Linked DNA regions of Kluyveromyces lactis. The protein of the gene in region 1 purifies or fractionates together with the protein of each later gene. This does not show direct contact. Links are inferred from orthologs where the notes say so. Each region holds a gene or a part of one and is shown on either strand. Other genes may lie near its edges. The genes, in order: SFH1 and RSC9.

Evidence for each region.
Region 2: the proteins of SFH1 (region 1) and RSC9 purify together in Saccharomyces cerevisiae (affinity purification with mass spectrometry; 5 studies listed by BioGRID). This does not show direct contact. The link is inferred for Kluyveromyces lactis from reciprocal best matches to the Saccharomyces cerevisiae genes SFH1 and RSC9.

The regions. Positions count from the first base shown.
Region 1 is NC_006039.1:1,622,580-1,638,096, reverse strand, and holds SFH1 (Sfh1p), read left to right. Parts: upstream 1-7,291; coding exon 7,292-8,620; downstream 8,621-15,517. Other genes in the region: ERG26 (sterol-4-alpha-carboxylate 3-dehydrogenase (decarboxylating)), read left to right, coding at 608-1,663; CORVET complex membrane-binding subunit VPS8, read right to left, coding at 1,710-5,306; EFB1 (translation elongation factor 1 subunit beta), read right to left, coding at 5,656-6,199, 6,490-6,569; NKP2 (Nkp2p), read left to right, coding at 8,917-9,372; TAD3 (Tad3p), read right to left, coding at 9,378-10,364; EST2 (telomerase reverse transcriptase), read left to right, coding at 10,647-13,232; BUD6 (formin-mediated actin nucleation enhancer), read right to left, coding at 13,257-15,350. UniProt on the Saccharomyces cerevisiae protein: Component of the chromatin structure-remodeling complex (RSC), which is involved in transcription regulation and nucleosome positioning. RSC is responsible for the transfer of a histone octamer from a nucleosome core particle to naked DNA.
Region 2 is NC_006040.1:880,715-896,741, forward strand, and holds RSC9 (Rsc9p), read left to right. Parts: upstream 1-1,434; coding exon 1,435-3,129; downstream 3,130-16,027. Other genes in the region: double-strand break repair enhancer MSC1, read right to left, coding at 1-192; RPM2 (ribonuclease P), read right to left, coding at 3,463-7,125; ERG13 (hydroxymethylglutaryl-CoA synthase), read right to left, coding at 8,887-10,179, 10,700-10,801; cyclin-dependent serine/threonine protein kinase SGV1, read left to right, coding at 12,241-14,178; GTPase-activating protein SST2, read left to right, coding at 15,297-16,027.

The DNA.
Region 1 (15,517 bases):
CAAGAAGTTGAGCAGGTACTATAATCTTCGTTCCTGTTTATGCGTTTTTACTATTTATTTGAAGGTAGAACTGTTATTGAATGCTAACATTTGTGTTACTTTTGATTGATTTTAGTGAATTTTGCTTTATTTTATAGAATTTAATTATGTTTTTTGTATTTTTTTGAAGAATTTATTTTAACTTATTTTTTATTATTTTCTGAAAATATTTTTTTTATTTATTCTATTTATTATTTGCCATTATCTAAGGATTCTATTGCATATGGACAATTTGTATGTACAAATGAACTAATTAATTGTATGTTAAAGCAAAAATACAACTCTGGCTTAACAACACTCTAACCACTAACAGATCAAGAAACCTAAATTATTGTGATCATTAAGTATAGGAAAGGAGAAACCAATGGCTATTAATTAGTACGTTATCTTTCTATCCGACCATTTCACAATTTGGGAGACACTTTAAATTTGTCGTTTAGTTCTGTTTTAATATTCAGAAAAAAAAACAATTAGAGAATATTAGTTAACGTTAACACGATATTCAAGATCACACCAGGCAAATCGAATTCTTATCATACGTTGAGTCTACGTAAAACAAACAACTACTATGAGTTCAAGCGATGTTAAATCTGTACTACTAATTGGTGGATCTGGATTTCTAGGTCTCCATTTGATTCAGCAATTTTCTGAACTTAAACCACAACCTCAGATCCATGTTTTTGACGTAAGACCACTTCCAGATCGGATCTCAAAACAATTCACTTTTGATCCTTCGACAATTACCTTCCATCAAGGTGATCTAACGTCACCTGCTGATGTTAGAAAGGCAATTGAGACAAGTGGTGCCACGATCGTCGTTCACTCGGCATCTCCAATGCATGGTAATAGTCAAGAGATTTACGAAAAGGTCAACGTTAAGGGAACAAAAAATCTATTAACTGTCGCAAAACAATGTCGAGTTAAAGCAGTAGTATATACCTCATCTGCTGGTGTTATTTTCAATGGTCAGGACATTCACAATGCTGATGAAACTTGGCCAATTCCAGAAGTTCCAATGGATGGTTATAACGAAACAAAGGCAATTGCGGAAGAAATGGTGCTATCAGCAAACGATCCAGAAAATGACTTCCTAACAATAGCATTACGTCCTGCCGGTATTTTTGGTCCTGGTGATAGACAATTGGTCCCAGGTTTGAGGCAAGTCGCTAAGTTGGGGCAATCAAAGTTTCAAATTGGTGACAATAACAACCTGTTCGACTGGACCTACGCTGGAAACGTTGCAGATGCTCACGTACTAGCCGCACAAAAGCTTCTGAATCCAACTACTGCTGCGCTAGTATCTGGAGAAACATTTTTCATCACCAATGACACACCAACATATTTTTGGGCTTTGGCACGCACGGTTTGGAAGGCAGACGGTCATATTGATAAGAGAGTTATTGTTCTAAATAGACCCATGGCTATTGCTGCGGGGTACCTATCTCAATTCTTCTCTAAATTGTTGGGCAAAGAGCCAGGTTTGACTCCCTTCAGAGTTAAAATCGTTTGTGCCTACCGTTATCACAACATTTCAAAAGCTAAAGAACTTTTAGGATACCAACCAAGGGTTGATATCGAAGAAGGTATCAGAAGAACGTTGGCATGGATGGATGAAGGCTTATAAAGGCCAACTCTATATGAATTGTATATATCTATGTCTATCTATAACTTTACTCATCGTCACAAGTTAAACATTTGAAAGCACCCTCGTGTTGGCCCATGTTTTCTAAACAGGAGCTGTGGAAACTGTGCCCACAACTAAATACAACGAGTGCACTGCTACCACTAGCGGCGACCTCGTGGCATCTCGCTGACTCCCACTGTTCAAAGACTTTATTATCGATTCCAATTCCCCATATTTTCTTGCCACATACTTCACACTCATGAGACTGAATTGCCCAACCATGTTCTTTTCTGTGCATATAGGTTGTAATATCTGATGATGCACTTTGATTGATAATCTGTAAAATAAGAAGTTTCACTGTCTCTTCGACAGAATAAGCTGTGAAAATATTCTTCAACACCACTTTAATATCTTTGATTTTACTCAAGATAAGAGATTTGTTTTCAAATATCTCCATTAGGGTCTTCCAGAAAAAGCTCTCCTCCGAGTTTTCGATATCATTCAGGTTCCCATCTGAAAGCTCAATAAATACTTTCTGCAAACTTTTATCACAAAACGCTTTTTGATCATCGGTAAGAGTTGGGTATTGAGAGACCAAGTTTGATATCAATTTAACCCAGTTCTTGTTAGTTTCATCTGTCTTCTGGGATACACTGATGCCTAAATCCAAATAATTATCAATTTCGTCAAAATCATTATTTTGTAATAACTCGTTGATTTTCGAGTTTATTTTATCTATTGCCGACCCATAGTTCTTTAGCCGTACTAGCAATCGTATCAAAGTTCTCGAATCCCTATTTCCGTTAATAATATCTACAATACTCTCAACTTCGATGTTTTTAAGGTCAATATTGTCAACCCATTGTGATACACCGGACGCATCTCCGGTTTCATACAACAATGATAGATACTTCGGCCTTGCTTTCTTCAAAAATGGGGCAGATAGATGATAGTTCCCAGACAGAAGTATACGAAGATATCCTAAGAGCGTCAACGGATCAGAAATAAGAAGAATTTTTTCATGTAAGCTACTATCAAAAGAGTCTATGATTGAGACAAGGGAACGCTGATCTTGACAATTTTCGATAATCTTCGGAAATGTATCTGATAGAAGGTCGCAAATTTCACTTCGACCGATAGGCGATTTCGCTGTAGCACCATCACATAGTTTCAAACCTGCAATAATATCATTGCCATTCGTATTCCTGTGTTGATCGCTAAGAATAAAGGTAAGATAATCTGTATATCTTCCGGCCTTTTTATATAGCAGAAGCCGAACACGATAAAAATCCACTCCTGACATTTTATCAATTAGGGCGTTAATATTATCTGGTGAATAAACAGACAATAGTGCTTCAAGACAATCTTCAGAAATTTGTTCAAATCCTTCCAAATCAGCAGATAATATGACGTCTATTTGTGAGTCAATGATAGTGTTGGTTAGGCGAATAAACTGAGAATACTTTGGCAAATTGTTGAACACAAAGAGGGCAATAAGAAGTTTCACATGATTTTCTTTGAAATTCTTCTGTATGTCCAAAAGAACATCAATTATATGTTGTCTAGTAAAATGAAATCCATTTTGAGGGGATTCATTGAACAGAACATCTTCAAATGAGACATCAAGAACGTGCAAGAAATTTTGCGCACTTGATGATATTAAAAGGGAAGCATATGGAAAGGCTGGTTCTTCTGCTGGTAGGGGACACGTTAAAAGCTTTTTTCCAGAGCCTTGTGGCCATTCCAAAGAAGAGCCACTAAAAAGTAAGCTGTAATAAAAGTTCTTTAGGTATAGAATCTTTTTGGAAGGCACTCTTTTTTCTGTTGGATAAACTTTTCCCAATAAAGTTGATTCGATGTACTCGAAAAGGGTATTATCTTCAATGTTAGCATCAAAAACTACACAACATTCTTCTTTGCCAGCAAAGTAAAATATTATATCCACTAGGGGACTTTTATAATCATCCAAAATGGTTGTCCAGAGATATAAAAGTGCAGAGTAGAGACGAAACTCTTTGCAAACCTTGAAAGCATAATCCAAATCCAAAGTTGTACCGTCTAGCGATAATAAAATTGTCTCTAACCTTCTATCATTTCCTGAAGACACTGTGTATTCCATCACAGCCTTGAAAAGTATTGGTGAGAGGTATGTTACTGTCCCGTTAACGATTTTTTCGTAAAGTATTTCTTGAAATTCTTCGTTATGTTTGGTCATCAAAGCTTCCCCTACCTGTTCTAAAAGCACATACATCTTTTCATCTGAGAAAATACTTCCCAAGTCCAAAATCAATGATGTAGCTTCAGTGACCTTACTGTAACTTATATCATCTTTCTTCAGTAAAAATTGAACAGTTGCTAGTGTCAAGTTGTTAAACGATGGTTCAATTTGTCTGATTCTTTTCTGATAGTCTTTTTCCAGATGTAATAAGGCGGTTATCGAATCGAATGATGGACCTTGTAAATAGTAACCTAGGGTTCCTAATGCATTAATGTAATCTCCTTTATGTATATGGTGTAAGACAATATCGGACCATGAGTTAATTTTCCCCACCATTAAACTGTAATTGGTGAGCACAACAATCGTGTTATTTAACGTAGCGAAATGGTTCTCAGATTCTGGAACCATCAGTTCATGAATAAGTAAGTCAATACTAGTGAGTACAGGATCCTCATCGGTATCAACACTACCTATGTTTAAAACGAGAAGCTTACTTGACAAGAGCAAAATAGTCAAAATGTTATTTGTGAGCCAGGCAACTTTACAAATGCATTCAGGAGCTTCGTACGTCCATTGTAAAGTCGGAAACCTGATATCGACAAGGCTCAACTGGTTATCTACAGAGAAGGCAACCTGATTTGGATTGACGTCATTCCAGGAGATATATCCAAAAGTGGCCGAGTTTTTGTGTGACAATTCAATGAGCCGATAAGTTGATAAAGTTGGCGATGACAATGATATGACTGCGAAGGATCGATTAGATAAAACTGCTAACAGATGTTCAGCATCATAATCTTCACCGTTGCTTCGAATGCGCGTAGTCAATAAAGGGTTTATCATTGGATTCAGCCTCAAGATTTCTTTTGCACTAGGTACCAATTGCCAAAGATGATTTCTAGTACCCTTGTGAAGTACAATATGTCCTGTAGAATCACTGACTGCAATATTGGTATGTTTCCCCGGGATAAAATTAAGACCATTAAAGGAATGTCCTCTATGAGAAGCAATATGCAGCACGGCTTCTAGATGATTAGAATCGGAATTTTCATCGACTTGAGAGTTTAAGTCCCACAGGAATATATCACCGGATTCATAGGCTGCGCAAACATGGGTACCATCCTGATTTATATCGATAAATGTTACCTTGGATCTAAAATCTGGTAAAGATGGTGCTAGTACAGATTGAACGAATTGTTTCTTGTTAAAGATAACAACGGCTCCCTTTGCCGTACCTATGATATAGTAGAGCTGAACCGGAAGAATGAAAGTAGGTCCCCCATAATATGATAAATTCGGATACACTTGTTGCAATGAAGTCCAGCTTACATGCAGGGATTCATCCTGAGAGCTCTTAAAGGGATTAAACTTTTCGAAATCGGTTGTGTTGTTTCTCTTATCGTGGCCAGTACTATGAGAGCCATTCATTTGAAACTTGAATCTTGCTGGCAATTGACAAACAGGTAATCGAAAACTGTTTTAACCGAACTTAGACCGTAGGGCTTCTGTTGCCTTTCCTGTTTTTTTTTCTCATATTTTACCTTAAATGCAGCATGATGTTTAATTAATTATCTATATGCATTTATATTATGCACATTTCTATTCTTAAGATGCTCAGAGGCTGTAAACCTAAAAGAAAGATGAACATAACAGGATAAAAGAGACAGCAAGGGTTCGGGTCCAGCAAGAAAGCACGAAGGGGGTCGTTGAGAAATATAGTATATTTATTTATTCATTTATGTAAGGGGAAAAAGGTGAAGAACTTAAATTAGTTTAATTACAACTTTTGCATAGCAGCAACATCAGTAGATTGGACGTGGTCTTCATCTTCTTCGATAAGTTGTTGCAATTCATCAAGAGAAACCTTAGCATCTTCGATGACCATGTTAATTTGCAACTTCTTGATACCGAAACCAATTGGAATCCATTGGTGAGCACCCCAGTTCAAACCATCCATTTCGATGTTCTTAACGTTGGCAACCAATTCTTCCAAATCGGTTTCGTCATCCCATGGCTTAACATCCAAGGTAACGATAGACTTAGCAGCAGCCTTTGGCTTAGCAGCCTTCTTTTCGTTGTATTCAGCGATTCTCTTAGCCTTCAATTGTTCAGCTTCTTCATCGACATCATCGTCAGAACCGAACAAATCGACTTCGTCATCGTCATCTTCTTCTTCAGCAGCAGCTGGTGTAGAAGTAGCAGCTGGCAAGGATTCGAATTGATCAGCCTTGGAAGCAATGTGGTTGAACCATCTAGAGAATTCTGGGTAAGTAGATTGGAAAGCCTTGAAAGCAGAGACGTCAGCTTGAGTAGCAGAGGTACTATATTGATGCAATTGTTAGTTAGTAAAATGGAAAGAACAAAAAAATGAAATTTTTTTGTATGGCAGCTAAGCTTGCTTGCTGAAAAGAGAATTCAATAAAAAAGATAAATCAGAATCGTACTGTCTAGGTACTGTCTCTTTGTCACTCATACCGGGGGTCTTACTTCCCGTCATAAACACGGACCAAAGAATTTGTTCATCATTGAAATAGTAAACTTTGAAGAATTCTCTTATTCAAAAAACTGCTTGATGCCATTGGAAAACCACCACTATAATTATTTCACATACCCTTCAATGTAAGACTTGTCAGCCAAGAAAGTGTTCAACTTTTGCAAGGTTTCGACCTTGGAGAAATCAGAGAAAGACATCGTTAATGGATAGTTAAACCTGGTGAGAGAAGAAACTAGGAAAGAATCAATTCCTCTTCTTCTTCTTACAAGGAACGTTGAATCAAATTGACGAAAAAAAAATACTGAAAAGCTGATGAAAAACTCTAATTCGAAAAGTTCCAATATATATATATATATATTTATGAGATATATGATATGTAAGACGTATGTACTATGGAATTATGGCATCTACGTGTATTCAAAGTGCATGCAATGTGCGGTGGAAGAAAATTTTTTTTCTTCCTTGTAAGTGCGATGAGATAGATACTGGAAAGGCAACAGCAGAAAACAGGGCACGCTGCGGCGTGCCCTGCGACAATTTGAGAAAAACCAAGTTTATTTTCAAAAATCATGGGTCCACCCCTTTGAAAAACGATTTTGCCATAGTAAATGGTTCCAAAACGGTACGGATTTTTCTGAGAAAGTGTTCTTTTTTTCATTTTTTTCAAACTGGATTCCTTTTCTTTTGACAAGTGAAATGTTTACTCAGGGTAACACTTAGATTGTTCAATCAACTCATCACTGTATACGAATATGAAAAAGTATCCATCAATTCAAGAATAGAAGTGCAAGTTCGTGTTTTAGGGCTGGTTGAATAAAGACTATGATAGTGTTACTACAAACAAACGGTTTACTCATTGAAGCGTGCTGATATACAGCAGACAAAGCAACTACGACCTGCCTCCCAAAATTGTATTGATATGTCGCTCGTACCGCAAGCCTACTTGAGTAACTTCCATAATAGAGTGAAGAACGAGGATGTTCCGTTGTTTACTGCTGCGCAGTTATCGAGAAACAAGAGGGGTAAACAGGTGAACTACGCTGAGTTCGATACGGATCTCTTGGATGAATTCATCGACAAGAACGATGAGGATGATTTGGAGGATGATGTGGACGATTCGGATGGTCGTCGTAGGGGTGGGGACTACTATGATCAAGTAGACGGTAGTGATGGAGGTGCTGCGGCTGCTGCCGCCACCGCCGCCGCAGCGGCGGGACTCGGTGAAGATGGTGGCATTGGTGAGGGCACGCCCGGGTCTGGTGACCCCGGTGCTGTCACTGGCGGAACGCCGGCTGCAGATACTGGGCCAGACGGTACAAACGATGGTACTGCAGGAACGTCAAATCCTAGCTCAGAATTGGATCGCATCAAACTAAACGACTTGCCCGACCTTGAAAGTCAGGATGATTCTGCCACTCCGCTAGCTTTGTTGAAATATCCTAGGATTAGGGAAACTTTCGTGCAAAGTAGGATCGCTATCAGTTATAAAGACCTTCTTGGAGATTCTATCCAGGATCCGCAGCAAGTGGATATAGAAAGCCCGATAATGGTTCCAATACGGTTAAACGTTGAATTCAGTGGACACAAGTTAGCAGATTTTTTCATGTGGAATTTGAACGACCATTCGATGACTCCAGAACAGTTTGCTACGATCTTGTGCCAGGATCTTGATTTCCCAGTGCTTTCCAACCCAAATAATTCCCCATATACACAGATTATCTCTATGATTAACGAACAATTACAAGAATATGAAACATTGGCATCTTTACAGGTTCCTGATTTACACGTGATAATAAATTTGACTGCAAATCTCGATTCCAAGCTTTATGATGACACTTTTGAATGGAACCTTAATGACGATTCATTATGCCCAGAACAATTCGCAGAATTGGTGGTACAGGACCTGGGCTTGCAAAGAGAGTTCGTTCCTGCCATTGCACATTCGTTGCATGAATCCTTGCTAAAGGTAAAGAAGGATTGGCTCGAAGGTAATTTGAATTTGGCCCATGTAGAAAATAAGGCAGCTTTCGGTTACACATCAGGTATCCGTCTAGATATAGATACACTTGGCGCCTCATGGTTCCCTAAGGTAGAAGTCCTCTCACAATGGGAAATCGAAAAGCGTGAAATTGAAAAGGAGAGAAACATGAGAAGATTAAAGAGAGAAAGTGCCAAGGTCGATGACGGAAGATCCAGAAGAAGAGGCAAGAGGAGAATGGATGACTTGGAAACTACTTTGAGAATATAAGTGTGTTCTCTTTTCCGGCCAAGCAGTTTAACTTCACAGACGCCCATTAGACAAAGCTGTATAGAAAATAAAGTTCTCCATCTATTCGTGGAGATTTATGTATCATTAATGTATTAATACCACCGTCATCTGTGGTTTTGCACAAATACTCTTCCTTTTCGTCAGACTATTATTTATTTAGTCGCCAAAAATCTCCACAACAAATAGAAAAAGATCAAAGATCATCGCGAATCAGTAATGCGTACGCTGGGAATAATAAAAAGTACATACCCGAAATCCTTATTACTTCAATTACTATGCTCCACGAAGTATTATACAAGCATTTAGACGGCATTTTAGTCTCACGTTTGTATACTGAGGATCAGTTTGTTGATCTATTTTCTAGAACGATACCGGAATCCAACACTGTGATCGCGTCACAGTTATACAAAAGTTATGAAGAGAATGATCAACGGATCATTGAAAAAATAGATAAACTCATCGACAACAAGCTGTCTTTGATAAGAGTTGAGCTCGAACGGGAACAAATTGAAGACTCCATTTCTCTCGAGGAAGTAAATAAACTATTGCATAGCATTGATGATATGTTGCAGCAGCATTTAAATCAATTAAACATTGAACTAGATAATAAAAATACAAAACTTTTGAAATATGCAATGGAACTCAGTGACATTGAAGCAATAGATACTTCCATGTACGATAATGTTGCAAAATTAATAACGGACATGGAAACCAACCAACCTTCTAGTTGAAAAGCTCAAGAACACACGGTAGAATCTATTCCAGGCACTTCCAATTCTTCACCAACCCATTGGAAGACTTCATACTTGGAGTTCAAATCTTTGTTTGAATGCATGCAGTATCCATCACCTGAATCAGGTTTCAGTGCACCGCTGACCGACATAGGATTGATGAATATGCATCTTTTCACTCTGGAATGAATTAGTGCCATGCTGCACATTGAGCACGGCTCATGACTGGTGTATACGTCAAAATCTAAGCAGAGATAAGTTTCCCCTTGATGTATATCTTTTTCTGACGCGGTACCGTTTTGGACACGGTCTCTTCTCTCCTGCTCTTCTTTAGCTACCTCATTTATTCCGACCATAACACTGTGATCGAGGGGAGATCCACTATGTCTATAATCCTTTGATATTATAATTTTACCAGATTTTGGATTAACGAATGCCGATACTATTGGAAGTTGCATGCTATCCGAATCTCGGATTGCTCGAGACTCTTCTGCTATCTTGGTTAACAATGACCGAATCTCTGTCATGTCAAATATATAGTCGTTTAATATCTGGTCATTAGGATTTCCTCTCCAAATTAACGGCCAATACTGTTCACTCCACTTCAACATTAAGCTTTTAGTCGATGGACCGACCTTCGGTACTTTGTTATCGTCTTTCACATTGTCATACTGGAAAACGACTCCTTTCAGCATATTGTCAAAAGTTGATCTATCCGGTATGTACTCTTTGGAGCCGATAAGTACTCGTAGTGTGTCGCTATCAAGCTTCTTGATCCGTTTCACATGAAGGAATGAAACGGGGTCATTATCCTGAATACCTCGTACGAATGGTATCACTGACTTACTTTCCCTTGGACGTACTTCGATAGACCAAGCCTCAACTAGATCAGGCACATCAACGTTTTTGGTATCTCGAATTTGCCAGAGGCAATCTTCGACGATGCATTTTATAAAATCGATCTTAGTGGGGTTCAGATGTTTCTTAACCATACTGTTAGCTTTTCATGTGAATAACTAGTAAATCTAGAGCTATAATTAAGCATCCATTTCCTTTACCCTTTACATATTAGTATATCATCTCATCGCATCGCATCTTACATTTCTATCATTGAAAAATTCATATCCAGAAATTATAGGCTACGAAACACTATTTACCAGTTTAGATCATGCTCGTAAGAAAGATGAACACTGAGAATAATTAATAAGAACCTTAAATTGATCATCGAGATGACTAAGGTGACTTCGAATAATGACCTATATCAATTGGTTTAGATGAAAATTCTTGTCGAATATTTGGAATCTTTAGAGTGCTATGAAACCCTCAGAAAATCGGATATTCTGATCAATGCTGACTCTAATGGGGTATCCAATCTGTTACTCAGCTGTTTCGCACAAGTTAACAGCAAACATTGCGTACCTCCTGAAATTGAAATATCTTCTACTTTCAGCTCATCGTATCACTGTGAAACTATAGAAACATGCATTCTCTACCTTTTGCACAAGAATTTTACGAATAATATACTGACTTATGGTTACCAGCTGGGAAAGAATTCAGATGTCATGACCAAACTGTTTTGCCGTTCATCGAACATAAGCGTAAGTGTATTGAAATGTAATAGCTGGAGATTGTTCCATCAGCTGGTTGGCACTGACAATTTTGTGAATTTGTTAATCAACTATTCCGTATATTTCAACACCGGCCATTACTTCAGGCAGATAATTGGAACCCCCGCTAACGCGCCTCAGGTGCCACCTGCATGGCTAGATCGGTCGTATAGGAGGGAAAGAAATACTAAGCTAACGATAGATTGGAACTCTGCTCTATATCATAAGATAAGACCGCAAGATTACAAGAATATCATTGAGACTGATCAGGGGCTGTTAATAGCTGAGATTTTTCCGAAAATATCAGAGAGCAGTAAGACACCTCGTTCTCTAAACTTTGCATTGAATAATCTAAAACCCATTTTATATGAGCTCATTCGAGCTCACGAGAGGTTTTCATATAGACACATCATCAATAATATATGCCCCAAATCAGATACTTTCTATTCATCACCCAAAAGTGTCATCAAACTGCTCATTGTATGTGTTAGAAAAACGTTCCCATTGGACCTGTTAGGATCAAATTCAAACTATAGCGTTCTATCAAAAGCGATTGCAATACTTGTCAAAAAACCGCTCCATTCAAAGATACTATTTGATGAATTATGTAAAGGATTGCGTGTGAAAGATGTCAAATGGCTAGAAACAAGGCGGCTTCCAGCTGGTGAACAAACTCAAAAGATTCCATATTATGATGTGAAAAATCGACAAGCGCTTCTTTATAAACTGTTTTTTTGGATCCTTTCCTGTTACGTCCCAAAATTACTATCTACATTTTTCTATGTGACAGAACTATCGTCGACTGTCGATATAGTTTATATTCGTCATGATACTTGGAAAACCATGTCACAACCTTTTTTGAAATCTTACTTTAGGAGGTATTTGCTTGAGAATAAATATTGTTTCCAGCACAGATCTTTCACAGAATCCAAGTTCAATCACAGAAATCTTCGTTTAATACCAAAAAAATCAGGCCTCGATTTCAGAATAATAGCGGTGCCGTGTAAAGGAGTCAATATACAAGAGTTTAACGAGTTTAATGATTACGTTACGAACGCTCTGAAGCCCACCAAGATTATACTGGAAAGATTGAGGATGAGACGAAATACCAAGTTTACAAAAGCATTCTCTCCTTTGGAAATACCCAAGATTGTATTAAGTTATAAGCAAAGGCTACTTTTAAAACATGGTAAAATACCGAATCTCTATCTTTTAAAGTTTGACATTCAATCCTGCTATGATTCAATTCCGGTTCAGAAAGTAATGAAATTGGTAGAGGCTCGGATATGTGAAGAGCAGCAGTTTTTTATTAGATCTCAAGATATACTGACAACTGCTTCCACTCGTCTGAAAAGGCTTCATGCTGTAAATGGAGACATACAATTCCAGGAAAATGATTTAGTAATTGATTCAGTCAAAACTACTGTCTTATCAAAAGAAGACGTTTTAACAGTAGTTAAAATGGAACTCTTCAAAACCAGTATCTTTTACAGAGGCAAGTGTTACTTAAGAAAAGATGGACTCTTTCAAGGAACTCCCTTATCTTCCGTTCTTGTTGATATATTGTATGACGACCTACTTGAATTCTACACCGAGTTTACTGATGAAAATGATTCAGATCCGATGATAATACGGCTGGTGGATGATTTTCTAATAGTTTCAACTTCCAAGAAATACATCGAGCGGCTTAATAATCTGGCTCAAACAGGATTCAAATCTTTCAATACTTATATAAACCCACAAAAAGTCTTGGTTACTTCATCAGAATCTGAAACATCAACAAATGTACCTTTTTGTGCACTGCAGTTAAATCTAAGAACCCTAGAAGTTTGGAAAGACCGCTCATCGTATAATGTCCTAGGAACAGTTTTGGGATCATCTAAGCAACTGTATAATAAATTACTCTGGATCTTTGAGATGAGACTATCTTATAATATGCTGGACGAGCGCTTAAATTCTTGGGAAACGGCTGCAAGGTTCCTGAGAGAAGTTGCGTTAAATGTAATTCAATCGTTCATTGTCCTTTTTAATAGGAAGAAAAGCAGCAGAAGATCTTTCAAACAATTTGTTTTCAACATTTTTCAGCGAATTGATCTTAACCTCTCTTCAGCTAATATGTTCTCGATGGAAAAGTCCGTCGCGTCAAAAGAACTGGTGTTGTCAGTTTTCCTTGAACAATTAAAATTAAGGAAGAACGCATTTGCAGACATTTTGACAAATGTCAGCGATTTGAAACTATTAATAGAGTTTTAATGCTATTACTTAAAATTATTGTACCTATATCAGACCAAAATTAACACGCAGATTTTCTTCGTCTTTTTGTTTTCTTAGGCGTTCTATCTCCTCAATGCCACCGGCCTTTTTGAAGTTACCTTTCTCAACGAAATTGCCCAACTCATCTTCAAAGGCTTCATTTTCCTTGTACTCTTTCTCTCTGTTTCTTAGTTTTTCTGCCTTTTTAATGGCTTCCACTCTACTGTCATGATCTGGGTTGAGATTCTGAACTTCAGTCAAGACTTGATCGCGGATCATATTATATGTGCCTGGCTTGGCTATCGGAAGAATGGGGTTTCCCTTATTCTTCTTTGGGGCCTTTTCCTGTTGTTCGCAGCACAATTTAACCAAATCAAATGTCTCCATAACCTTATTCAAGTCTTCTTGTAAATCAAATACGAGATCTTCTTGCAATGTCATGAACTGTTGCTCTTCACACACCCTATCTAATTCCGCTTCCCAAATAGTTTTCCAATTTGGCTTTTCGACATCTATATAATTTCTCATTTGATCCAAATCCTTCTTAGCGGAGTCTAATTCAGACGATACATTTTCAATCTTCTTCTTGGGTGTTCTCGCACCTCTAATGGCCACATCTTTACGTAATGCCTCAATGACATCTTGAAGATCGTCAACTTTACTCAAAAGATTATCAGAAACTTCGGATAACTTCGACTGGGACTTTTCCATATAATCGCGATTAGCTGACTTTCCTGTAGTTATTGAAAGGCTCTGGAATTTCTGTAGTTTTTCCACGATAGCGTTTATAGTATTTTGAAGCGATCTCTTTTGGTCGCTATGTATCTGTTTTAAAACGGTAATTTCGTGCCTAATATGAGCAACTTCTTTACGATGATCCTCATGTATAACTGTTGCAGAATCTGAGGATTTTGGACCACTTGAATAATCTGGTGACGATACGTGAGTACTATTTTGGATAATCTCTTTCAAATTTTGAAAAATTGTATCTTGCTTTTCTAATAAACCATCTTGAAGTTGGCGGAACTGTTCATCTAGAGACGATGATTGTACCTGTAATTGGAATACGCTCCCATCTATTATACCATGTAGGTGACTCTCTTCAAGTTCGTAAAATGCCTCGTATTTGGGTTCCTTCACATATATGTCAGGGAATACATCACCTCCTGGGGAATATGCAAATTTCTCAACAAATAAAAGTCTAAGCTTGTTGAAAGAGAGGTGAGAACTAGTTACACATCGTTTCACCTTCTCACCGATCTTCAAAAAGACAACAATTTCATCTATGCTTGAGTTATCACCTTTTGGTTCTGGTGCTCCTGTCATGGGATGATAATCTACGGATGAAGCAGAAGAGATTCGAGAAGGCTGTCTTTCCATTTTAATGCTTTCTGTATCAGAAACATTGGCCGCTGCTGCCGCTGCAGCAGCGGCTGGAACTGCTAAATTTTTAGACGTTGGGGAATTCGATGGATCTGAAGCTGTTTGGTTGGCTAATTTCGCCATATGATACGCTGAAAACCTCTTCGAGGCTCTTCTTTGCAGATTATTTCCCTTTTTCAATTGAGTTAACGCATCGCTTTCAGAACCCTTGGGAACTTCTAACGTAGGTATCTGTTTTGTTTCAATATGAGCTGAAGTAGATGTCGGTCCCGCGCCAGCCAAAGATGTCGTTGCGCTGACTACGGATGAAACGGAAGATCTTTGAGGAGTATGCTGATATTTCAAAGCATCTTCATTCCTGCTCAGTTTTATCATCGCCTGTTTAACCTTAAGTTTCTCCAAGAGTTTAACTATAATATCTCTGATCTGCGGTAGGTATTTATTCAACGTTTCCTCAGATGCAGTCTCTCTCAATGCCACCTCCAATATTCTTCGAAGGTCTTTTGGCACATCGCCAAGATCCGAAATATCAATTCTAGCATGGGTAAAATGTCTACTGACTAACTTGAAATCATTACCCAATTGAACATACACATCGGAAACATTACGCTCGGTAACTTTGCCCTTGGACCATTGCGTCAGAATTTGTAATAGTTGTTTAGTTGAAATCAATAGTTTCGTCACACTAGTTTCCACAGATGATGCTGATTTAGAAATTGGTGGTGGTGTTTCCATCTTTATCAGACACACCTTACGTACCTCACCCTACTGCTTCCACACACCTAACTACTAGCTAGGAAATCCAACGTACACTTTTTAAACGGTATGTTTCTTCAAAGCATTACTAGATCAAAAAGCTTTAGGTTTGATTTGGTTTGCATAAATCTTTTGTTGATAAATAT
Region 2 (16,027 bases), on another chromosome or scaffold:
ATGCTCAGACCATTTCTGACTAGCGTAAGCCTTCAATTCTTCAAGTGAAGTGTCTGCATCCTTTTTAGCAGAGTCACCAGTGTCCTTCAAATATTGAATAATGTCTTGACTAGACCAATTTTCAAATAGATTGTTGCAAATAACTACTTGGCAAGCAGCTGCACAAAATATCAAAGCACTACTAAGCTTCATCCTGCGTATTAATATTGTTATTCTGTGTAATAAGCTATGTCAATAAATCTTATTAATAACAGACACTTTAAATGATATCCTATACAAATATACCTAAGCCTAAAAATGCCAGTTGTTAAGCAAGAGAAAGTGTTCCACGTTTGTTGATATATATATATATATATATATATATATAGAATGGGAATTGCCAGAACAAACTTCTAGTTGACAGTGACAATGCATCACACTAAGTTGTAAAAATCGATGGCCACACTTAGTTCCAAATAATAGCTCTACACACTTATAATAAGGGGTAGGGTGACATGGATATACTCACGCATGGTCTAGCCAAGCTCACAATAGCGTCAGTTATGATGTTCGCTAACCCGTTACCTTTTTCCCTTATTTTTTGGATTCTAAAGACGTCTTTTTGCTAATGTTAAAGAAATGACTTTTGCGGTTTGCTAATGGCAGCAAGAAACGATGCAAAAGGACGACTGTGTCTTAAAATTGCAGATGGCAATGCCACCATTTGTATTGTGCCTTAAGGTAAAAATTCTTCCGGACGCCGTGATGTGTGGAATTTGCTTTGATGTATGTATGAGTAAGTAATCAGATCAGATCACTGAGAGTGATAACTCTGGGGGAGTTAGGGTCTAGGAAACTAATTAGGTAATTAGAATGTGTTTGAATCAGGGCAGAAATGGAAAAGAAGGAAGAGAATCAATGGGTCGTTTGAGTCGATTTGATGTTGAGATTACACTGAATCATCGGTTGATGATCCGTTCCTTAGCGTGGAATTACCACTTTTCGGTCACATGATCAACGTCAATTGCCAGGGAGGTGAATTTAAACTCGTTGTTCCCATAACCATTTGAAAAGGACTTAGGCTGTCACAGAGGGGATAGTCAGTGTTCATAAAGAGGATAAACCTAACTGTCAGAACTATGATTAGAATCACTAAGCAACAGCATATAGTCTTTAATCTGTCCTTGTTACTATGTACGGAGAGCATTTATGTAATCATTTACCCGGATATAAGCCGTATTATTGAACTCGAAATTCAACAACATGCAAAACAACGAAAGATTCGAGATGGACTTCTTAATATGTACAATGACAGAAAAGGAAAACGCGACTAATTAGATGGAGCTTACTTTCTTTGTACCTATATCGGCGATCTAGATACCTTAAACACACCTTCTTTCGGAGACTCGCTTTTTTCTAGTTTTGTGTGATACCTAGTGCTTCACAAATCAATAGATGTCCAGCCATTCAGTCACTCCGGTGATCAATGCTGAAGGAGAAACAGCGATTCCAAGCTTGAAGACATTGCCCGCAACACAATTAAATATTAGCAGAGACCAGACCAATGGTATTACCGCTAAGCCTGTTGCTGGGTTGCAACAATCATTAGGCAGTTTGCCTATCTTCAATCATTTGCCTGTAAACTCTAAGATTGGTGTTGATGATCTCACCCGTATGAAGATGGCATTGTTAAGTGGAATAGACGAAGAAGTTAAATTTGCATTGAAAAGATATTTACGGTATAGCATTAACGCTTCTTATGTTATCAAATTGAATGAGAATTTGGATTTGTTGCCCATTATTATGCCCTTGATTACAGCATGCAGAGAATACATTCCACAGCTTGTTGGCCCAATTTCCAATCAGGCTTTTGAAGCCCTACAAAAAGGTTCAATTACAATGCTTCTTTTGAGAAATTTGGCACAGGACTCGGAAAACACTTCGATATTAGCCACCGATATGGAATTGAAATCGTTCATATTGTTCGTGTTGGAGTGGGCAAATACGTTCAATTCGAAGGATTCGGCAATCTATCAGTCACATACATCCAGTTTCAACGAATTGTTAATCTATACTCTTGATTTAATGGAGGCGATTTCATCTTATATTGCACCAGCAAAAAAAGACGATCTATATTTCCAAAACCTCTGTTTGATATTTCGTGATACAAAGGATAGATACTGCGTGATCTCAATTTTGAGATCATTATCTAGACTCTTGGTGAGATCTAAATCGGACCAAAAGAGTGCAGCAGATAATTTGGATGATAGTTTGTTGAACAAGATTGTTCATAACCTTTTAATTGATAGGGATGAAGAGTTAATAATTGCTTCATTAGATTTCCTTTATCAATATATATTACCTGGTCATCAGAGAATAAAGACATTACTATCACATAAGGAAAGATATGATATCCTAGTTAGTACTCTCCCTGTTCTCCTCACGTATCATGTATCAACCCCTGATTATCATGCCCTTTCGAATACTAATATCAAACTTATACAGAGGGTAAAACCTCAACCACCAGCACACGCGCCTGAATTGCCAATGCCACTGCTCAAGGAATTATTTGAGCTAAACGAACCAATGCGTGCCACTTCCTGGTTGAGATGCTGCTTTGAGAGATCTCTGAATGGCGAAGTAACACAGATTCTTCTATGGAAAACTTATGAACAAACATTCAGCGAACAAGTAAAACTAACAGATCGAAAATTGATAACTGCCGTTGATTTCATTAAAAATGTTTCGAATGCTTTGCCCGGTGCATCCGCTTTGGTAGTTGTAGATGAAGCAACGTCGAAGAAAAAATTTGTAATAAGAGGTATACAGCCTCGCAGAAAAGCTCTTTCAATCGTAGAGGCAAATAAAGATATTGACCAGTCCTCGCCTATACAGACTGAAACCCCGGATGAATTTGAAAGCAACAATACTCCATCGGAAGCAGTTCAAATTTGTTTGCCAGATATTGTTTTCCCCGAGAATCTTTCTGATGTATCTAAAGCAAGTGCGTCATTCCTTTCACTTGTTTCTAACGATAGTACCGAGATCGTGGCACAATTTATTCATGATATGAAACCTTTGATATTACATCAAATTGCTGACGTGCCACCTTTAAATACTGTTCTTTTGGACTTCATACATTCAGGTTGAACTTACCGTTAGGCCGATAGAGTAATTAAAGTTGTAGTTTTGTAATAATTAAATGTATAACGTATCGATTAAAGGTAAAAATTAAACAACGGGAGACCTAACTAATGTATAAAATTGAATTAAAAATGGTGAAACAAAATAAAAAATAGATGATAGCAATTCTGACAATATCAGAATTTTGTATCGAATGGATCAGCGTAAACCCATTTTTGTCATAATAATCGTAAAACTCATCAAATAATAAATAAATAAAACTTTCTTCATGAGACAGATTGTTCATGGAAAGTATGATAGAAGTATAGTAAGAATAAGGTAACATCAGCAGAAAGTTGTTTAGTGCATGGAAGAATCTATAATATCTTTGAAACTCTCCACTTTAGAATGATGATCAGATAAGCCTTCAGATTTGTAAATGGCAGAAATGGAATCTAAAAGTACCATTAGCGAGGTCTTGCTAACGTTAAAAGAACCATTATCATTGAAGTTTATAACCTTTACAGCGTTGTTCAAACATACTGATTCGACGATGTTGTTGAACAAATTGTCAACCAAAATTGGGTTAATTTTTTGCCATATATTGAGCAACTGCAACATTTGGTCTTCGGTGAAAGTTATTGTTTTAAGATAACCCCTGAATCTCATGTAGTTTTCGAGTTTGGAGTAATAGTTCTCTATAATAGAAGTATCATTTAAATCAAGAAATTGCATAGAATCTTCAATATTGTTGAGAATTTGTTGGGTAATTTCCATCTTAATGCCAAAGTTCAACTTCAAGTCTTGTGAAAATTCCTTTCCTTTGGTCATGCTTTCGTAACAGTGAATCATATTGTGGAAAGAATGTTGGGCTGAGAGCACGTTCGCTAACTGCAACGTGTTTTCGATTTGGAAGTCTACATCAACAGGAGTTCCGGAGAATGATGATAAAAATAATGCAAAAGAGTACTTGTCATAGGTTTGATGATCGATAACATCTGGGAAAGATTTAAGCAGTAACATTGCATCTTCAAATTTCTTTTGATTTATTAGATATTCGGATCGAATTACGCCAAGGGCAGCAGGCGACATAGAATCTTTAAACCTCGCTTCTTGAGAAAGATAATTATCATAGTCACCTAGGCGAATGAAAGATTTCAAGATCAATGAAATGTCTAGGCATGGACAGATTTCATTGAACATGATAACTGATTTATAGTCCTTCGCTCTAAATAGCGCTGCAAATATAACCGCGGTAGCGCCTTTGTACTCCGCTTGAGAAGTAATACTTTTGAACCTATCGGGGAAACCAACAGCATTAATAAAATTCCGGATGTTTTCACAATTTAACGCAAGCTTTGATAGCGATTTATCTGTTAGGTTCTCAAGAATCTTACTGAATAACTGATGTTGAATTACCTCCTCTTCCAAAAGATTCTTTGGACATTTCACAACAATACAATTAGAGATATACTTGAGGGTTTCCTTGTCTGGACATAAATTGATAGTCTTGGTTATAACATCAGAGGTTATGTATTTCTGGTGAATCAATTCGGAGAAAGTATCATAATCAAATTTGTAGCCATCTTCGGAAAGTCTTTCATATTGCTTGAACCCTGTCCTTTTGGAGTTACGCAATACCGGACCCAAGCTTAATGGGTAAGATTTGTCCCAGTCACCAGGGTGTTGGAAATAAGCCACAGTATCTTCGGAAAGATCGACCATTTTCATAGCTTGAATTGCTACAGGGGAAATCTTGTTGGCATCCAAATGAATTCGTTTGTAGTTAACGCAAAGCTTTTGGAATCTTTCAGCCATTTGTTTTTTGAAATCTAACAACATCTCATTTTGAATATCCAAATAGTAGGTATCTAGATCATATAATCTCGAAACAGCTATTCCATGCAATTCAAGATTGTAAGAATAATCCTGAATCAATTGAGGAGTTTTCCACAACGTTTGGAAACAAACAATGAAACCTGCGTAATTAACTGCAGAAGCGTTTTCAAGAGTGAACGCTTCACAGGCACTCTTAAAGAAAGGCATTTCTGATACCTTCTTCAAGATAGGTTGCGATTGATAGTTTTCGACCAATGCATTCAAAAATTCGAATACTAGAGGCTTGCTATCGGTTGAAAGTGCAGAACCATGAATATTCACAAAACGAAGTAAGTAAGGCTCCGGGCAACCTATGCTTTGGAAGTAGCTAAAAATGTAAGGGTACAATCCTCTTTGGAATGTAGTCTTTTTCACATTCGATTCTTCGACCAATTTCATAATGAGCTCGTCGTCTTTTTGCCTTAGGGCGTATGTCAATATAGTGCTGGGCATCGATTCCAATCCACTTGGATACAATAAATAATTTTTGATTTTATTATCGTTTTTCGTGGTGTTGAATGACGTTTTCATAGGGAAAATATAATTGTATATTCTTTTCACCAATGGCCAATTAGTATTGAGGCAGTTTGCGATCATGACCAAGTAGAATTCATAAGAGAATTCTGGTACCCATTTTAATTTACTGAATTCCATCAACAACTTATATGCCTTTTCCGAATTTATTTTACCGACAGATATCAAAAAGTTCGAAATGACCAAAGAAACGTTCTTGTTATGCCCATCTTTTGCTTGTAGATCCACAAGAAGCTTATCTAAGAGCTTTGTAGCTAAACTTAACGATCCAGTTTCAGCAAAAGCTGATACGACGACAGAGTACACTTCATATTGGTGTTCAACCAATTGCATATTTTTCAGAAGTTCTGATCTAAAATCTTGATAAAGGTCTTTTACTGCCTCATGTTCGTTCAACATCTTGGCGTACGAGATTAAAGAAATGTAATAGATTTCATTCTTTGAATACTTCACGTTTGAATCAATGAAATTCTTGATATAGCCGTACTTTATGTGGCCAGGGTATAAATTGATAGCCAACAAAAGATTATCTAAAAACTCATGGTCGAAGGACTTATTCTTATTCAAATTAGAAGCAAAGAACAGATCAATGGCAATTTTGAAAAAATCTAATCCATTGGTGTTGTGTAACTCAAACGCTCTGATTGATCCAGACAACAATGAACCTACAACAAGGTGATAGATTTCTGCGCTTGGTTTTAATTTATTCTGAATTATATCTTGGTAACAGTTAAGTAATTCAAACATTTGGTTATCGATATTATTTTGATCTAAGTCCCTTCTGCAAATAGAAGTCAAAACTTGTTCAAATAATGACAACGGAGGAACAATTTCATTTCTTATCAACGATTTATAAATTGCGTTAACCTGATTATAATTTTTGTTCTTCATGCAATCTTCTATCAGCTTAGATTGTGTTTCTAAAAATGCTTCTTTATTCAAACATGGTTCCAAATCTGTTTCCCATGCCGGGATTGAGTCATCCAATCTTACATCTTTTAAACGATCTAAGAGAGCTTCCGGCACTGCACCTTTATCCGTTTGTTCTTTCGCTCCAGATTTCTCTAAACTATGATGCTTTTCGACAGGAGGTGAAGTTGGAGGAGTGATCGGAGTTGCTCGTAGATTGTTATTTGCATTATTTTGAGAATTTTGTACCTTGGTAGAATAATAACGGGTAGACAACTTCTCGTTAATTAGAGCAGATTTTTCATTCGATAGATAGGTAAACGAGTTGGATCTCTTCTTCTTATTGTGGTTGGCACCATACGAGCTCTTCTTCGAATAATTTACATCATGTTCGCCAGAATAGAAAATTTCACCATCCTTTTCATAAAATAAATTTAGCTCCTCTGATTCTAATCTCGACAGCTCTGCGTCTCTACTCTGTAAAGCCCTTTCCACGTTATTATAATTAACGTTGGCCACCACTACGGGATGTGGAACAGCAGTCAAAATGTTATGTTGAGGAATAGCAGTATCCAAGTTCACAAGTCCCTGATTCTGTTTCAAATACTGGTACGAGCTATCAAAAAAGGACGTTGCCGATTTATGTGCAGAGGAATGATACCCCTTACAGTAGAACTTACATTTCAATGATTTGAAGTGCATCCTGTCTTTTAACCCACTATTTGAACGATGTAGAGAAGAAACAATAAGTCCGAACTAAATACCTTTCCTGTCAAAAAAGAAGGACAATTATCCCAAGGTACTCTTATTTTACGGTAAAGTTAGATTCGTCTTATGGAAGCCAATATAATATCTATCAACCCTCCAAATTAACAAAGTGAGACAGTAAATAATTCAACGGTCAATAATGATGCAATTAGTCCAGCGTGACAGGGAAGGGAAAAAAGACCAAGTCAATCAGTGAATATAAGAGAGATGATTCCAGCTTGAAGCTTATTCTATACAGAGAAACTAAGCTTTACTGACTCTGTAGCTCCCTTTTAATATCAACTTTTGTGCTTACTTCTTGATTGACCGCTGAGCCAATATTACCGGTAGGGATGAATATTTGATTCTATAGATATATGAAGTTTTCTCTTTTCCTATTTCTCTACTTTCTGTTTTCTACTTTTTTTTTTTGTCAAATTATCAGTTTTCTTTATTTTCTGTCATTCTGATACGGAGGGAAAAGAAGCATTCTGATATGCTGCAGAGATTTAACAGAGGGAATCCCCCATAAAAAGCACGGAAATTTTATGAACGCTTATTATTTAGAGCCGCGAAACTACTTCTTACCCGGGGATAGCTCTTTTGGTTAGTCATTTTTTCTTAGGACATGAGCGTATTACCCTAGAAACAAAAGTAGTCAGATCAACCACCAGGTCTATTTTTGATCCCTGAGCTGTGATTTGCTGTGACGTGGCACAGAATTAAACTTTACCGTGCTTCAGTAATATTCCTATTGGTTCTTTCTTCCGGACACACTCAGGAGTCAGAGGGCTAAGCTCTGCAACTGTTGGAGCTTACTAGCTTTGTTACGATAAATTCCTCAGAAGCCGGAAAGACGAGCTTTATGGTGTGGTGTCCGGGTGTTTTCATAGAAACTACCGTAAAACTGTATTGCTTCAATCATCTTTTTTTTTAGCGTTTTCTGTCGATTGTGTTCTATTGGCCGATTTCTGGACGGTAGCGATGTTTCGCATAGTAAATTCACTCAGACTGGGAAAAGTAATTCGAACGAAAACAGTGCTAAGCGATGTTCGTATTTACAAAAGGATCGTAAGGAATGACTAGCTATGGGAAATAGCGTATTTTGGAATTGGACCGATATTACCATCGGGAGATAGGATTGGATGTGACATTCGGAAGGAGAGGCTTACTGCTAGCATACAAGCTAGGAATATGGCAGGAAGAAGCTCTGAAAAACACAATCAATCGAGCAAGGTAAGTTTAAGTTCAGTAATGAATGGAAAGGCAATTAAATTTACGTGTGTGGTGTGTCTAAAATATACATATAAATATATTTATTTTCTGCCTGTTTGCGTTTAGTGTGGGGACCAGCAAGGTATCCGAGGTGGTTGCAGGATATGAGATTGGGTTGCGGATACGAAGATGACGATAGATACTATCTTTTGCTTACTTTATCTCAACGCAAATACTGTTTATTATGAATAAAACAGAAGTATCACATCTTTAAAAATACTGGTGCAACATAGAGCTAGCAAGGTATTTCTTTTTTCCTTTCCTCTGTAAAGTAGTTTGTCAGGTGGAAGGGCGCAGATCAGGATTGGTCAACGAGTAAGATTTATTAAGGTTTCAACAGAAGACAAAAAAATCAAGATATCGTTTTTGTAGATAGACAACAGAGAAAAATGGATGAGAATGATAAATGAATTTGTTTAATGCATTTTTCTATGCATTGAATTATTCTTTGATAGCGTAAGATCTTCTGTACCTGTCGTCAACATTGGTTAAATAGTAAGTACCTGGGTACAAGTTTTCAATGGATCCGGTAGGTTCGAAAGACTTTTGTAGATGGGCTTGTTCTCTCAACAGGATAGCCTTTTCGTAATCTTCTGGAGACTCGGTCTTTCTGGATTTTAGCTTGTTTTCAACGTCCAACACATCGACGATGTGTTTGATGTCACCGACAACCTTGCACGAGAACAAAGATGCAGCCAAACCAGAACCGTAAGAGAACAAACCAATACGCTTGTTTTGTAGAGCATCCGAACCGACGTAGCACAATAGGGAGGAAAGTGAAGCATATACAGAAGCAGTGTACATGTTACCAGTGTTAGTTGGGACGATCAAGGAAGGAGCTACTCTTTCTTTATGGAATGGTTTGGCAACATTGACGAATGTCTTTTCCAGATTCTTGTCGGTCAAAGAAGTTTCATATTCGACGGAAGCCAAAGATGCATCGATTTCAGGGTATAGAGATGGGTTGGCTCTGAAGTCATTGTACAACAATCTACCATAAGACTTGGTAACCAATTTACAAGTTGGGACATGGAACACGTTGTAGTCGAAATGTTCGGTTACGTTGATGGCAGAGTTACCAGCAGGCTTTGCTGCTAGACCCTTGGCGATTGCCTTCTTTGAGTAAGCCTCGTAAGCCTTATCCAAAGCCTTGACGTAACAAGTTAATGAGAAGTGACCGTCAACGTAAGGGTATTCACTTGTGAAATCTGGCTTGTAGAAATCATAAGCGTGTTCCATGAAGGAACCTCTTATTGGATCGAAGACAATTGGAGCATCTGGACCGATCCATAGAGCGACAGTACCAGCACCACCAGTTGGTCTGGCAGCACCCTTCTCATAAATGGCAATATCACCACAAACAACGATAGCATCACGGCCATCCCAAGCAGAAGATTCAATCCAGTTCAAAGAGTTGAAAAGAGCATTGGTACCACCATAACAAGCATTCAAAGTGTCAATACCCTCTGTATCAGAGTTTCCTGGGAAAAGTTGGGTCAAAACAGACTTGACAGACTTAGACTTATCCAGTAGAGTTTCGGTACCAACTTCGATTCTACCAACGTTGTTGGTGTCGATGTTGTAGTTCTTCAAAAGTTTAGATAGAACAGTCAAAGACATAGAGTAAATATCCTCTCTGTCATTGACGAAACCCATGTTTGTTTGACCCAAACCAATGGTGTATTTACCGGATGAGACACCGTCGAATTTTTCCAATTCTTCTTGGTTGACACACTGTTTCGAAAGGATAAAGTATAAATGTTAGTAAGACTGGGTGAGGTTGAGAAAACAACGCGGTGAGGGCTTCTCGTAGCAAAGTTTGAAGGATCAGATGCGCGTTTGGTAGGATATGCTCTGTCCATATTAAAAGATGCATTTATCCAGTTAGTTAATACTGTTGTGATTTCAACTTCAATGCAAATCACTTTGTTCTTGTTTTTCTACTAGTGGCGGCAAAACCAGAGGGAACACATATAAGGACCAACAGCGCCTACAAAGAAAGAAGACCGAAGAGCTGATAGCTAGTAAATTTTCCAAATGATGCCTTCCTATCCATAATTAAAGAACTGGCCAATAATTCCCTCTTGTTTGGCAACTATCTGTGTCCGTTTTTTTTGTATTCCTCGTTTAAGCTTATTTGCACAGCCGCTGTACTTCAGCAAAGTAGGAACAGAAGTCTCGAAAACGCTCAAATTCAACAAAATATGCAAGCCCGTGAGTTGCTATAACAGTAATTGACGTATTAAGAACATACTTGAGATGGGATGTAAATTTCGATACCCTTGATACCGACGTTTTGAGGTCTTGGTGGTTGATCCACAGTCTTTTGCTTCTTGGCTAGATCTTGTTCAGTCATTATTTCTGAAGGGTTAGCTGAATAACTATGGGAGTTGTGTGTTGATATAATCTACAGCGTAGTATGGTATAAACAACTTATATTAAAAGAACCGCTGGCAAGAGTTAACACTTTCTTTCATTACCTAAAACACGAAAGTTCATCATCAGTGTATCTTATTTTTTTTCATCTTTAAATATCACGTCGATATTTTTCTCGTTAAAAGAAAAAAAAGGCCATCTCAATGAAAATTTGTAACATCTGTCGTTTAAGAAAAAAAATGGTACAATTTTGTACAGCCAAGGAAAGAAACATATATTATGATACAAATAATTTTGCTGGATAATTCACCTCCACTGCGTAATTTGGTCCATTTTTCGCACGTATAATTAGAATTACAGAGCATACGAGATAGCGCTTCCTTTTTTTTTGTTGAGGGAGGTGCTTTTTGTGCTCTTTTTGTTATCTTAGCGATGAGAGTATCTTTATAAAACAAATGTGTAACGTTCAAGCTTCAGCTAAAAGAATAGTTCAGCCAGTGAACTAGGCTGTTCTTGGAGCTGGGTTGTGATATCCATCAAATATGTTTTAGTAAATAGGTACTTTGATAATTGCTTAGCTTTAGAAAGTGAAATATTGAAGTCAAACACCGTTATCTCCTTTGTTTCGAATGCTCTCCACTTTTCACCTTCAGGAGTAAGAACGAGACAAGTTTATCATCATCTTCCCATTAGAATAACCTATTTTTATTGGCGAACTCCTTAAGTAACAGCGTGTTCTAGACAATGTCACTAGATGTTCAGCAGATGGACGTTTAGGATGACTGTTTCATGATCGGCCTATTCGTTTGTAAGTGCTTTATTTTTCGTGCGTCATTTCAATACTATATATTCCAAAAAGGCGCAATTAAGCGCTATCCTAATTGACAACCAAGAAGATCACGAAATGTTTCTGCAGTGATATATACTTTCATTGAAGCTAGAAGTAGAATAAGACTCATTCTTAATGCCGATGTCTGATTTCATTTTTGAAATGAGTGTAAAACTATGGCTTACTGAAGTTCATAGGCTTGTTTAGAAGTTAAAGGCCCCAGAATACTTACCGTACCTTCAAAATGGCATCTACAAAAGAGCTGGTTATTAGTTATAAACTTAAAGCGGTTGTGACTCTTGAGTAGAAACGCCATATTGGTCACGTGATATTATTTTAATAATGACAATTTCAACCTGTATAACATGTTAAGCAAAATTTAAACTCAAATTAAAGAATAGTTATGAATGTCAAATTCGCTTTGTACAACAACGGTCCTTTTGCAATCAGTAATTATTGTGTGAACGGTCATTTATTGCATCACATGGCAGTTTAAAGTATCATAAAACCTAATTATTGGAGTTTTTGTTGTAAGAGTTACAAAAATCGTTGCTATCGCTCCTTTGCATTGAATAAAGAATACTATAGCCATGAGCACTGTGAATAAGAAGCCTGCGTCTTTGAAGTATAAGATAGGCAAAGTGAAACAGATACCCACTGTTGTTAAAGATGATAAGACTGGTTTGGAGTACATTCAGGTTCAAAGCAGAGAAAATGAAAAGGTGTACGGTGTTACTAAGTTTCTGAACAACTATCGTGAGGAAGAAAAATTAGGGCAAGGTACTTTCGGTGAAGTCTTTAAAGGGATTCATTTAGGCACAAATAGAAAGGTTGCTATTAAACGTATTTTAGTACGAGCAGAAAAGGATTTGTTTCCAATAACAGCTCAGAGGGAAATTACCATTTTGAAGCGCATGAATCATAAAAATATCGTAAAGTTGATTGAGATTGTCTACGACGAGTCACCAACTCCTAAGACAGATAGTACGTCTCCTCGACCTGTTGGGAACTATCATGGAAACAACACGGCAAATCAGCAGAAGCTCATAACAGGTAAACACTTTTTCATGATATTACCATACATGGTTTCCGATCTAACAGGGTTGTTACATAACCCCAGAGTGGAGTTCGGCATGGCTGATGTTAAAAACATCATGCTACAGCTGTTGGAAGGTATTAACTATATTCACTGCAATAAATTTTTGCATCGTGATATTAAGACAGCCAATATCCTTATAGATCATAAAGGTGTCGTAAAAATTGCAGATTTTGGTCTAGCAAGAAACTATTATGGTTCTCCGCCAAATCTTAAATATCCTGGTGGTGCTGGATCAGGTGCTAAATACACCTCGGTCGTTGTTACACGTTGGTACAGAGCTCCTGAAATTGTATTGGGTGATAGACATTACACTACGGCAGTTGATATTTGGGGGATTGGTTGTGTATTTGCTGAGTTCTTTGAGAAAAAACCAATCCTTCAGGGTCAAACAGATATTGATCAAGGACATGTCATCTTCAAACTCATGGGAACACCATCGATGGATGAATGGGGATTAGCTTACCATTTACCTGGATCCGAGTTGACAAAAACAAACTATAAAAGTACGTTGCAAGAAAGATTTTCGAAAGCGTTGAACGAGACAGGTTTGGATCTTCTCTCTAAATTACTAGCTCTAGATCCATACAAGCGTGTAACTGCCATGAAGGCTAAAAAACACCCTTTCTTCTTCGAAGAACCGTTGCCAAATGCACAGCTAACTTTGCCTAACGAAGAATGCCACGAATCCGATATTAAAAGATACAAAAGTGAGATGAACGAATCTATGTCTCAAAGACCGCCATCTGCCCCAACAGGACATACATCGACTGATAATTCCATAAGAGCTGTGACAGGTGCTGCATTTCCAAAAGAGGCTTCAATACCAAAGGCTCCTAGACCAGAACACATAAAATCAACCATTCCAGCGCAACCCTCCGCCTCACGGTACAATGGTGCAGCAACTCAGAACATCCCCAAAGAACCTATTCCGACTGCGCCTCTTCCAAAAGGTCCTAAAAACAGTATACCGACTGGACCAAATAAATTACCACCGAATCCTCGTGATTCATATGCATCGAAATATCCGGCTGAATCAAGGTTCGGTGTGAATACAAGAATTACTACCGAGTCGTATAATGCCGGGAAACGTTACCGTAATAGAGGAGGATGGGAAACTGGTAGAGACAGTCTAAATTATAATAACAATTATGCTCCACCTGCTGATCGTTCGCATCATCCTACTATACAACGTCCTTCTGCTCCTAGAGGAGGATCCTATCCTAACAGATATCAAAATCAGGACTACAATACCTCTAGAAATACAGGGTATAATCAATACAGCCAAGCTGGTGATCGGAGAAGTTACAGACCGGGAGCTTCTGAAAATCCAGGGACCATTGGCCATGGTAGCTCACAATCTACGCAAAAAGATTCCAAGTCATCGCATTCCAACAATGTCAAACCAAAAGACGTTGCAGACTACTATTGATTAAATTTAAATTGGGCTTGAAACTATGCTGGTACTTTTCTACTTTTTAAACCCAACTTGACATGTTTTTTCCCCAAAGTGGCCTGCTGCTTCGAGATTGTTAAATAGTATATAGATAGTTTACGAGGGAAAGTGCGTTTGTTTCTCTTCATGTATCCCAGAAATTCATCCATTAAAGTGCTAACCAGATTATGATATGTGGTCTGTGAATGATATCATTACGTATAAAAGGGAAATTATGGCTGATGAAGATTTTTTGCTGGTATAAATTCATTGTTGATGTATCCAGATTTGGAAACCAAATCAAAATTACGCACGTCAATAATCACCAAGCAGCAACTTAAATATACTGATAAACAATTTAAACATGGTCATTAAGTTATGCACTTTCCAGCAGAATTGAACCCTGGGGTAATTTCTTTGTTGGCGGTGCATCACAGAAATTCCTCGAACGTTTCAACTGATGCTCGATGTGTTTGCTATAAACAATTCCAACAAGCAAATAGGTACCGATTTGCACAAATAATTAAAAGAAGGCAAACAGTGCCTCATTTTCACACTGTGTTTGAGTATCGATTAGAATGTCGGTATAATAATTCCACCGATCTTATCATAGCTTTATTGTTTCATTTTCCTATTTCTTGGACATTTTGAGGTTTGTACCGGAACTTTGCATGTTTCATGTCAATATTGCCCAAAAAACACGCTGGAAGGGAAAAAGGAAAATGATTTGATCACAAACAATTCAACATTGTTTCAAAAGATCCGTTACTGGGTGAACCAGGATATAACCACGCCGTGATAATCTGAAACAAGCCATTAAGATCATCAACATTTGCCTTTATATATAGAGCACCAGGAATGCTTTGAGCCGTTCGATACAAATGTTAGCAACCCTACTTCTCGAGAGGTGATACTTGCAGTTGGTATTTATGTGGATTGTACGTTACTGCAAAACCAAGAACTGACAACTTCGAATTTATTCAGACGTAAAGACTGTTGGCTTCGCTTCACGAATTAAAGGGGGGTTTAGCTGTATTTATACCAGGAGGTATATGCATGTTGTACTGTCGCGCTCTTTGTTATTTTTGATTTACTTCTTCTTATGAATAGATAATATGGTCTCGGAGTCAAATAAAAAGGAAAAAACGCTGCATGAATTGTTTTCTAATAGCTTCGACCGCTCACCCGATGGCTCAATATTAACTCATGAACTGAAAACAGTATTTTCTATTATGATAATATGTCTTCCGCTGGAGGAAAAACCAAGATCAAGTAGCAATCGACTCTTGAATTTCGCTAAGAAAAGTTTTCCGTTCACATTTTCAATTACGGAGGCTATTGATCTACTACAGGAGCTGGAGCTTAATGTGGAAATGAATTCCACTAGTATCTACATCAGTTATTCCATCAAACCAGAACTGGGATACCAGCTATTGAACACTTTTATGAAAGCTAAATTACTACATACACCTGCGGATAAGACAAGAAGTCGGCCAAAAGAGAACATTCTTTTGCAGCCGACTCCTAAAGGGGTGGCCGTAACGTGTGATTATGCCAGGAAGTTTGCATTGAAAGAGCTGCCTCCAATATTAACTTCAAACTTCAATACGATGAATCTTTTCAAGTTCGAGCGAAATACGTTAGATGATTCTGTCATTCAAAGCGAATACTTCATAAATCTATTGTTCAACAAGGTCATGGGTCCAAAACCTAATATATGGTCCCCAAAAAATCCAACAGATAAAATTCCTAAGCTCTCTGACTTATTGGATCAAAGAAGCTCAGATGTTTTCTCATTTGAAAATGTGTCACCAGACTTCGCCGTAAACGAGCTTGGTGAAAACCC